2 linked regions of the Sus scrofa genome follow. The protein of the gene in region 1 purifies or fractionates together with the protein of each later gene. This does not show direct contact. Links are inferred from orthologs where the notes say so. Each region holds a gene or a part of one and is shown in the gene's direction. Other genes may lie near its edges.

Region 1 (5,252 bases):
TGTCACTGCAGTGGCTTGGGTTGGTGCCATGTGCAGGTGCAACTCCTGGCCTGGGAACTTTCACATGCTGTAGGTGCAGCCAAAAAAAAAAAAAAAAAAAAAAAAACAAGTGCTTAGCCAATTAGGACAAGTAATGAATAATTTGGGGATTTGTTACAGTTAATTGAGGTATATGCTTAACTGATTAACTGAGGAATGACCTGAAAATATTTTTGTTACGGTTCTTTTAAAAATATACTTCTGGAGTTCCCGTCGTGGCGCAGTGGTTAATGAATCCAGCTAGGAACCATGAGGTTGCGGGTTTGATCCTTGGCCTTGCTCAGTGGGTTAGCGATCCGGCGTTGCCCTGAGCTGTGGTGTTGGTCGCAGATGCGGCTCGGATTCTGCAGGTGGCTACAGCTCCGATTCGACCCCTAGCCTGGGAACCTCCATAGGCTGTGAGAGCGGCCCAGAAAATGGCAAAAGGACAAAAAATAAATAAATAAAAATAAAAGTATACTTCTTCATTCTTACTTGGCGTATGTCCATAATTAACATCTTTTCTTTTTTTTAAGGGCTGCACTTGAGGCATGTGGAAATTCCCAGGCTAGGGGTGTAATTAGAGCTGCAGTTGCCAGCCTACTGCCTGCCTACACTCTAGCCGTAGCAACACCAGATCCGAGTTGCGTCTGCGACCTATACCACATCTCATGGCAGTGCTGGATCCTTAACCCACTGAGCGAGGCCAGGGATGGAACTTGAGTCCTCGTAGATACTAGTTGGGCTTGTTGCCAATGAGCCACGAGAGGAACTCCCTAAAAGGTCATTTTTGATCGAAAAATTTAATGCATCATGGCCATCTTTCGGGAAAGTACTTCTCATTGTATGTTACCATAAATTCCAAAGATAAGGGATTGGAATTTACCTATAGAATAGCCAACTGCCATGGATTAACCTGAGAGTTTAAAAGAACATCCTACATGGCTATTACTTTTGCTTTATCTAAGTTGAAAATAATGAAGAAAGCATCTTGATTATTTGTATCAGAGTCAAGAGGTTTTAATAATAAGTTGAGAGAAATTACCGAAATGATTTTGTAATGAGGCCTTTGTCAATAGTCTCAAAAAATTTCCTTTGTGAATTTTTAAAAATATATTTTGTATATTTACAACATAATTGCAGAATTAAGATGCATACAGAGTGAATGATTGATGGTAAACTTTTTGGTGTACAATTTCTACTGATTAAGAATGGATTGTTGCAATAAGTAGATGGCCATAGCAATATATGACCTGAGAAAATTTGTACTCGGGGGGCAGTATGCAGGAGCTGTTTTTTATGTGCTGCTGAGGTAAAGATGTAAACAAATGCTGTGAAAGAGTAGTTTGCCATGAGAATCTTGAGCTTATGAGTATGTCTTTTAGTTAAATAAGAGAATTGGCAGTATTTCTTAACTTTTCCTGCGCTTTTCATTCTTTTTGTACTTCCATGCTTTCATCCGGGAGCTTTTCCCTCTAACCTGAGACTTTCTTTAGTGTTCCTCTTTTTGGACTTTCTGGTGTTGTGCAAATGTTTCCTTATTTCTCTATTTCTGGAGAATAACTTTTCCTAGGCACTTAATTCTAAGTTGACAGTTTTTTCTTTCAGCATTGAGATGTTATTCTGTTGTCTTGTGGCTTCCAAAATTTCTGTTGAGACGCTACCAGTTATTCTTATTGTTCCTTTGGAAGTGATATATATATTTTTTTCTTGGCTGAACCCATGTTGTGGGAAGTTCCTGGCCAGGGATCAAACCTACACCATAGTAGTGACAATGCCAGATTATTAACTGCTAGGCCATCAAGGAACTCCTAATCTCTTCATCATTAGTTGCTGGTAAAAACAAAACAAAACAAAACATTATTTGCATGTCTAGTAATTTGATTGTTTGTTAGGTCTTACGAATAATATTCATAGAGCCTCAGGATTATGTTTTTCCTCTGAAGAGTGTAGAGTTTTGTTCTTGAAGACAGTTAGCAATAGATTGCCTTGATCCTGCCAAGGATTAGTTTTAGAATCTGTTAGGTATGTGTATTTCACCTAATTCCTAGGACATGACCTTTCTAGGATTTCATCTGAAACCTGAGGATTTTCAACCATCCACTCTGGCTAGGTCTGAACTTGGTCTTCCTAATGCTGTTCATCCTCTGAAATCTTGGCTTAGCTGTTCTCTGGTAGACCACCCAGAATTGCACTCTGAACATCTCAGTTTAGGACTAAGTCACAGCCAAGGATTTGTGGGGTTTTTTTTTACCCCCCCATGTGTTTTTGAATTTCTCTCTACAGTTTACTTTTCTCTGGGACCCTGTTCCCCAAATCCACCTGCCTTGTCAGTCCCTTACTGTTCCTTATTGTCTCTATTCATTCAGACTGCCTCTGTGTGGAGACCATCATTAATTTTAAGCTAGTAGAGTAAGGAATGCTATTTGGTAATGACCATCTACTTGAAGACTTAAATTGTGATGAGAAAATGCTTGTACAAATGGTTGCTAATTTTAAGGCATTGGCTACTACTATATGTAAATTTTAGGGCCTTAACTAGTCTTCAGTAAACATTTAAGTTTATTCAGTTAAGTTTCTGTTGAGTGTAGCATTGTGATCATTGACATTACAATTGTGAGCAAAATCAAGATAAAGCCCCTGCTATGACTGACTTTATAGGATAGTGAAAAAGTAGTTCCTGGAAGTGTCTTGTTGATAAGAAAAATGTATTTTATAAAATGTGTCTTCTCTGAGGTCTTTTGTTTTTGTTTGAGGTCTTTTTTTATTTTCTTCTTTTTATTTATTTATTTATTTTTTTGTCTTTTTCTAGGGCCACACCTGTGGTATATGGAGGTTCCCAGGCTAGGCGTCCAATTGGAGCTGTAGCCGCCAGACTACACCAGAGCCACAGCAACTCGGGATCCGAGCCCCGTCTGCGATCTACACCACAGCTCATGGCAACCCCAAATCCTTAATCCACTGATTGAGGCCAGGGATTGAACCCGAAGCTCATGGTTCCTAGTCGGATACGTTAACCATTGAGCCCTGACGGGAACTCCCTGAGGGCTGTTTTTAGATTATACATCTCTGATTTGCTTAGTGTTGTTAATGTGACAGTGTATCTATTGTTTTGCTGGCTTGATTTGAATCTGATATCCACACCCTTGTTGCAGTGCCCCCGTTTTTTGTATCAGCTTTTGTTTCAGCCCTTTTCTTAACCACCTTTTTGTTGATACCAGCTTAAAATAGGTTAAAGAACTACGTGGAGTGATGTGGAGAACATGTCTTATTCCCACGTTTCTTTTTTTTCTTGACATTTTTAGATGACAGTATTATGTGTAACCTAGAAGAAGATTTAAGTTCAAGCCAATGTCTAGCTTTTTTCCTTAGGGCAAATTGAGAAAGAAGTTGCTGAACTTTTAAGTTACCATGTGTCATAACGGTATAACATGAAGGCAAGGACCTGTGTAGTACTGGCTTGATAAAGTTTTTTTTTTTTTTTTTAAGTCATTGTAATATAATTAGTTGCACTTCCAAACTTAAACCCCCTCCCCAGAAAGCATGCATAGCACTTTAATTGTATGTTAAGAAAGATACCTGATTTTCCCAACTTTTTTGCATGGTCTCTCACAATCTTTTTATTTATTTATTTATTTTTTGTCTTTTTGCCATTTTCTTGGGCTGCTCCCGCGGCCTATGGAGGTTCCCAGGCTAGGGGTCTAATCAGAGCTGTAGCCACCGGCCTACTCCAGAGCCACAGCCATGCGGGATCCGAGCCGAGTCTTTGACCCACGCCACAGCTAGCTCAACGGCAACACCGGATCGCTAACCCACTGAGCAAGGCCAGGGATCGAACCTACAACCTCCTGGTTCCTAGTGGGATTCATTAACCACTGAGCCACGACGGGAACTCCTATCACAATTTTTCTGATATTAAAATGTGTAAGAAGATAACAGTATATGAAAAATACTATCATTATATTTTTGAATTAGAGAAACTAAACTCTTTGCATCTCAGTGGAGAGATGCCAGAATGGTCTGGTGCCTTTTTTTTTTTTTGTCTTTTTAGTAATGCTTTCTTTAGAGATTGTCTGTTTAATCAAAAGCTTTTGCTGTAATTCCTTCTCCTTAAAAAAATGATATGGACAATATTGGTTCAAATTTATTTAGAGTTATTGCTGTCATATAAATTAAGAAATTTATTCACGTTAAAAAATTTATAATGTTTAATTATTTTCCAACAGGAAACCACCCCTACTCCTAATCCCCCGCCTACAGAAGAAGAGAAAACAGAATCTAATCAGGAGGTTGCTAACCCAGAACACTATATTAAACATCCTTTACAAAACAGGTAAGTTTTTTGACAAGTAGGTTTTCTGACTTAGGCAACAAAGTAAATGGTGAATGGGACAGGTTTGGAGGGAAAGATTAGATGAGAATAGTTTTAGATAGGTCGATTCCATTTTCATTTGGATGACCCATGTTTACCAAGTAGTTTTATTTGTGAATCTTGAGCTCAGAAAGTAGGACTTTGAAGTATTGGTTTGAAATTCACTGGTTATTGGTAACTGAAACCACAGTAGTAAATAAGTTCTCTTAAGTGAACTTGACTCACAACGGAGGCTTAGAATATTAGCACATCGGCGGGTGGGGGGGCAGTTTGGCTGCACCCACAGCACGTGGAAGTTCTCAGGCCAGGGATCAAACCTGAGCCACAATTGTGACCAGAGCCACATTGATGACAAGGCTGGATCCTTAACGCACTGAGCCACAAGGGGAACTCCACATAGGGTTTTTTTTTTTTGTTTTTTTTTCCTTCTGTCTTTCTGTCTTTTCTTTTAACTAACCCGAGGCATGTGGAGGTTCCCAAGCTAGGGGTCTAATAGGAGCTGTAGCCACCGGCCTACACCACAGCCACAGCAACGCCAGATCCGAGCCATGTCTGCAACCTACACCACAGCTCATGGCAATGCCAGATCCTTAACCCACTGAGCAAGGCCAGGGATTGAACCCACAACCTCATGGTTCCTAGTCGGATTTGTTAACCACTGAGCCATGATGGGAACTCCCACATAGGGGTTTTTTTGAGCAAAAATGCCTATAAAGGGTATAGACATATAAACTGTATAAAGTAGGACAGAGTGTGCTGGTCAGGAAAATTATTTTTTTTTTTTAAGGAAAAGATGGTCAATAACTTCAGTGCCACAAAAGAGTCAAATATTCATTGGATTGAAGGCCAAATCCTTGCTAGT
Region 2 (5,978 bases), on another chromosome or scaffold:
ATAGAGAAGCTGAAACTAGTACAATGAATGTCTGTATACTCCTCACTTAAATCCGTCAGTGACAATTTTTCTACTTTGGTTTATCTCCCTCTTTACATATATGTACATATGTATATGTGTGTGTGTATGCTGATTCAAAAGTTGCAGATTTCATGACCCTTCACACCTAAATTCCTTAGCTTGTATCTCCCAGAATAAGGACATTTTACCCACAATACCAATATCACACCTAAAACAATGACCATTAGTTTAATAATGTCATCTCACACACAATCCCTGTTCAGTTTTCCCCTGTTATCTCCATTTTTATAGGAAAGTCTTTTATAGCTTAAAAAATATCCAGAATCTAATCAACTGGGGTGATACTATGATACCTTGTGAAAATTCTCATCCTCAACAGTGTCCACTTGATGGTTTTGGTGTCCAATGATTCTTGAATGAATTATTACATTTTTTGATTTTATCAATCTTTCTACATTTCTTAGCTAGCTAGCATTCTTCCAGCTTTACCACCTACCATCCCTTTTTCTCTTTCTTTGAGGATCACTACAGATAATGATTCTATGATCTCATAATCCATAATGTGTTTCGATGCCTACAATTACCCCAAATTGGGCCAATGGAAGCCCCTTCAAGCCAGTTCCTGTTTCCTCTCGTGATTTCTGGCACAAGATGCCTTGAGCTCACCTTGTACTTTTCCTGCCCCAGACCTAGAACCAGCCACTCTTTCAAGGACCAGCTTATACTATGAATAGGTCCCACATCCACACGGTTCAATTCTCCAGATAGTCACAAAGTGTACAGTACATTCTTTTCCCTACTCCACCTCTCTCTTCATAGACAGCCAACGTTATAAGTTTTTTGTCTATCCTTACAGAGATGGTTTATAAAATAGAGCATAAGCACAGATAAATATTCTTGCCCTCTACCAAAGTTTTAACCCAAATGACAGCATATTATACGTGCTGTGTTTGTCTGTGTTTGTAGCTCTGGTCTGTCATCAGATTCTGATAGATGCCTATGACCTGAATTCAAAAGGATTAGAAATGTTTAAAGTCTTAAATGTTTCAGATGAGAAAAACTCAGGGAACCCAACTTGAAAAGCTGTATTGACTACTCTCACATGTTATTCCCTGGGTTTGAAGTGTTAGTCCCTCTCTAGGCTCCTTCACACCTACTCATTTTTCAAACATCACATACTTCTTCCTAGCACATACATAAGTCACTGTATTAAATTTGTTTCCAGCCACTTCGAGGACAGGAACAAAATCTGTCTTGTACACTGCTGGCACACAGTAGGTGCTCAACAAAAAAGTGCAGACTTAAACTTGAATCCAGGCCATCCGGCTTCCAGCCCACTCTTCCTACTGCCGTTCTGCTGCAGTCGGAGAAATAATTCCAAGAGGCAAATAAAAACGCTGAATAGAAAAAGCCGGGAAGTCCTCTCATTTCCACGGTTCATGGAGGACCTTAGCAGAAACCGCTCACCGCGAGGTGTGACTACCGCAGGAGGGCGTCAATCAAGAAAATGCCCCCTTGCCCCGCAGGCGAGTGGAGCTGCACAGAACCGAAGCCACACCGGGTAGCGTCAAGGCTTCAATAGAAAACACGTGCAAAACGGCAAAAGCGGGGCTGCGCGCAGCTGTGATCCCCCTGGACCCGGGGATAGGGGACCAGGAGCAGCTCCTAATGGGTCGGAGAAAATCGCACAGCTTTTGGCTGACGCCGTAGGACTCAGGCCTTCCCTTAATTCCTGCCGGAAGGGACTTCTGCCAGCGTCCCCGGGAAGTGGCTGAGTCCCGGGGACCACAAGTGAAACAAGGTAGAGAGGCCAAGAGTCCAGAACACCTGAAGTCTAGTTATCCTTACCCCACTGGGCAGGCAAGGGCCGTGGATCTCTCTCGTTGGAGCTGCCCCAGGATCCCAAGGCACTCTCTCCCACCGCGAGCTCCCCTAGACGCCCGGGGCAACAGCCTGTGCCACCGTTACTCCAGGGAGCGCGCCGACCAGGGAGGGTGCTCTCGGGCCTGCGAAGCCGCAGTCCTGCCAGTGACCTCTACGCCTGCAGAGCCCGAGTCCAGCCGTCCCTTCCCTGGGGCAGCTGCAGCCACCCCAGGTCCGGGCTCCGACCAGTGCACCCGGGTTTCGGTGGAGGTGTGTTCCCACCGGGGCTACAGCCGCTTGAATCCGCCTTCCAGGCAGCTGCTTGCCTCACGCCTCGCTCGACGGACGCGGCCCTGGGCTTCCTTCGAGGGTGTCCCGGACTTCTTTCGAGGGCGTCACGGGCCGGGGTGCCTGGAGCCCCGAGCGTGCGGGCAGCTGGGCACGGGGGCGCAGGGTCCTCGGAGGCTGGAAGCGGGCTGGTCCCGAGGGCGGGGAGCTCAGCCGACGGGGGCGGGCCAAAGGTGGGGGCGGGAGGCGGCTCCCGGGGCTCCGCGCCATTGGCCGCAGGGCCTGGCGGCAGGAAGGGGCCAGAGTGCCCGGCCCCACCCCGCGGCCGACAGAGCCTATCGCCGGGAGCGCGGAGCGCGGATAAATGTAGCGCCGCGGCGCGGGCCGGCAGCTCTCCGAGGGGCCGGAGCGCGGCAGAGCCATGCAGTACCCGCACCCCGGTCCCCCAGCTGGCGCCGTGGGGGTGCCGCTGTACGCGCCCACGCCGTTGCTGCAGCCTGCGCACCCGACGCCGTTCTACATCGAGGACATTCTGGGTCGCGGGCCCGCCGCGCCCACCCCCACGCCCACGCTGCCGTCCCCCAACTCCTCCTTCACCAGCCTCGTGTCCTCCTACCGGACCCCGGTGTACGAGCCCACGCCGATCCACCCCGCCTTCTCGCACCACTCCGCTGCCGCGCTGGCCGCCGCCTACGGACCCAGCGGCTTCGGGGGCCCTCTGTACCCCTTCCCGCGGTCGGTGAATGACTACACGCACGCCCTGATCCGCCACGACCCCCTGGGTAAGGCGGCCGGGGTCATGGCGGGGCCGAGCCGGGGCGGCGGAGAGGAAGGCGCCACCCGGCAGGTGGCAGCGCCCAGGAGGCGGCGGGGGCGGAGGGGGAGGCAATAGAAAGTTGTGGCAAAAGCGATTGAAAAGCGGCTGTCGGGCGCGCGCGGGGAACGGGAGGCGCGGGCCCCGGCGGCGCGCGGCCCAGACTGACCGCACTGTGACTCAGATTGGTTTTCCTGCACCTTGCAGGCGTCGGGGCAAGCAGGCCCCGGCCAGACCTCGGGCGCTGCCGCCAGGGCCGACGGACGAAGGAGTCCTGGGGGCCCGTGTCGCCCGGGTGGGGCTCCCTGAGCTGGGGGGACTGGGAAGGGAGTGCCAAGGCCCCCCAGGCCACTCGTGCGGGGCAAGGGTAGTTCCCGGGCCGGGTGGTTACGGGGCTGGACCTAGTTCAACAAGCTTGTGCAGTGAAAGAGCCTGACCCTTTCCGTTCATACAGGAAATCTTGAGTTCTCGATAGGAGTAAATCTGGTTTCAGAAGCTGTTAAGTGTTTTCCTGGCTGCATGAAGCAGACCCTTCCCCCGGAGTAGTGCACGCTGCTGATTATTTTATCGACATCCTCAATACAGACAAATTCAGGAAACACTCGACTTCTGATAGCCGGGATCCGTTTTTCTGATATTGTTCATTTCCTCTGTGTGGGATGTGACTTTATGGCAGCTAAAATAACCAGTTGCTTCCTTTTTTTTTTTTTTGAGGCTGTTTTGAACCGGTCTGAATCCTGACGTAAGCAAAATCTCGAAAAAACAATGCCAGCTTTCAAAGCGTGTAGCGCAGGCCTTGCAGACCCATGGACGGACGGACTGACCGACACGTCTTTGGAGTAGGAAGGGCAGCGCGGACACGTTGGCCATATAGAGTTTACAGGACTTGTCCCCTCAGTACATGGCCAAAGAAATAAGCGTGATCCACGCTCCGGGTGGCCCTTGGCGCCTCTGGCATCTGAAGCCTGGGGTAAATAAAACCGGGCTCCTTGCCTTGGGTCACCAAGGTTTTAAATCTAACCTCTGTTATCAGCAGCTTCTGCAGGCACCCGGCAGACAACTAACATTTCAATTAATTGACTTTGTAATGTCATTATTATGGTGCAGCCCCTAGCGCTCCACTTTTCTACTTTGCTACAGAGATTTGGGGGAGTTTATATTTTAGGATTTTTTTTTTTTAGAGTTATTATATTGTGTTTTTGATCCCGCCTTCGAGGGTTTGGTGCCACAGGCCTGTCGTCACTCTCTTCGCCTGCTGGGGCTGAAGGCGGACTCTCAGCCGGGTTGGGCCGGACCTGGGGGCGAGCATTTTCACTGAGCGCGCCCTGGGTTTCCTTGGGTTACTGCTGGGACTGTGCAGGAGGAAGCAAAGGGTTTTTCGAGATAGACCAACAGGAAACACATTGACGGAAATGTTGCCATAGCCCACGGGGTGGCTTTTACTGGCCGCCCCCACGAGCCGGGTGTGAAATCAGAGAAGGCCGCGGCGCCCTCCAGGCAGGATTGAAAGCTACGCGCGCGCGCCCTGAAGCCCGCGCCCGGGCGGGAGGGTTTCCCTCGCACCCTGGAGGTGGTCTCCTGGTCCCGGCGCCGCCCCGGCAGCAACGCGCCTGACTAGTGCGACAAACCCGCTCCTCCTCAACGTAACACCCACTTGATCTTTGGAAAGTGCGCTCCCCCAAGAGAGAGGGCCCAGAGGAGCAAAAAGTTGTGTATAAATTCTGAGAGCGACTGGTTAAAAAGATCATGGTGATTTTAAGCTCAATTTATAGTCGATGTTCTTCTGGGAATCAAAACGGTTATATTTAGCTATGGGCGTGATGGTTGTGTGTGTCTGGGAGTGTACAGTGTGATCTATGTGCATAGGCAGTGTAGGCGTGTGACTTTGGGTGTTCCTGTATCTCTGGGTCTGTATATGTCGGTGTATCTGGTAGCGGGTCCTCCAGGCTCCCTTCCTTCTCTTTGTCACTCTCAGGGCCAGACAAGTCTGAAGTGGGTCAGGCCGCTACAGGGTCCTTTCTAATAGCCACTCTTGCCCACAGGCAAACCCCTGCTCTGGAGCCCCTTCCTTCAGAGGCCTCTGCATAAAAGGAAAGGCGGCCAGGTTAGGTTCTCCAATGACCAGACCATTGAGCTGGAGAAGAAGTTTGAGACCCAGAAATACCTTTCCCCGCCTGAGAGGAAGCGTCTGGCCAAGATGCTACAGCTTAGCGAGAGGCAGGTGAGCTCGCTCAGGGGCCTGGGGAGACTCCTGGGGGAGGGATCGGGGGCCGGAGTGAGATTTGGAGCCGCGGGGGGGCACTGGCTCCTGGAGCGCGAGTCTGCTCCCTGAACCGCTTGGCTCACCTCCTCCCCAGGTCCCTTTGGGCTCATGGCAAGTTTTCTTTCTGTCTCTCCTGTAGGTCAAAACCTGGTTTCAGAATCGTCGCGCTAAATGGAGAAGACTAAAACAGGTATTGACATGGTTCTGTTTCTATGGAAATAAATATTTTTATCATGTTATCACAATGCGAGGCCTGTTATAGGTTGTATGCAAAAGTCATTTAAGGGACTATTTAACCTCTTCACCTTGATTAAAAAGGCAAATAGTCCTGCTGAAATTCAGGATGAGTTGTTCAGGCGGCAGTAATGCTAAAAGCACCTAATGCAGTTCCTATATCAATTATGCTTGGGTTTTCACACACTGGCTAGTAAAACTCCCAGCTAATTGTTTTATAAACCCCATATGTTGTTTATCTAATTAACGCAGGAAAGATAAAGTAATTGACAGTAAATGACTTAAGCAGTTATCTTTGGGAGAAAATTGTTTCTTTTATTTACACAGCCATAATAAAACCAGGCAGAGCTCAAGGGTAAATATAAGGAAATAAACACCTTTAAGTCTTGTTTGCACTGTTTTTAGAAGAATTAAATATCAAAGGGTTAAAAAATAATTTTCTCTCTAATTCTAGCTCTTAAGATGAGTATAAAAACAGTAAGAGAATATCCAAGC

Evidence for each region. The genes of interacting proteins can lie anywhere in the genome.
Region 2: the proteins of EIF4E (region 1) and HHEX purify together in Homo sapiens (affinity purification with western blotting; 3 studies listed by BioGRID and IntAct, with this or other methods). This does not show direct contact. The link is inferred for Sus scrofa from reciprocal best matches to the Homo sapiens genes EIF4E and HHEX.

The regions. Positions count from the first base shown.
Region 1 is NC_010450.4:121,436,292-121,441,543, forward strand, and holds part of EIF4E (eukaryotic translation initiation factor 4E), read left to right. Parts: intron 1-4,244; coding exon 4,245-4,351; intron 4,352-5,252. UniProt on the Homo sapiens protein: Acts in the cytoplasm to initiate and regulate protein synthesis and is required in the nucleus for export of a subset of mRNAs from the nucleus to the cytoplasm which promotes processes such as RNA capping, processing and splicing.
Region 2 is NC_010456.5:104,191,868-104,197,845, forward strand, and holds the start of HHEX (hematopoietically-expressed homeobox protein HHEX), read left to right. Parts: upstream 1-2,556; 5' UTR 2,557-2,593; coding exon 2,594-2,954; intron 2,955-5,028; coding exon 5,029-5,207; intron 5,208-5,388; coding exon 5,389-5,439; intron 5,440-5,978. UniProt on the Homo sapiens protein: Recognizes the DNA sequence 5'-ATTAA-3'. Transcriptional repressor. Activator of WNT-mediated transcription in conjunction with CTNNB1.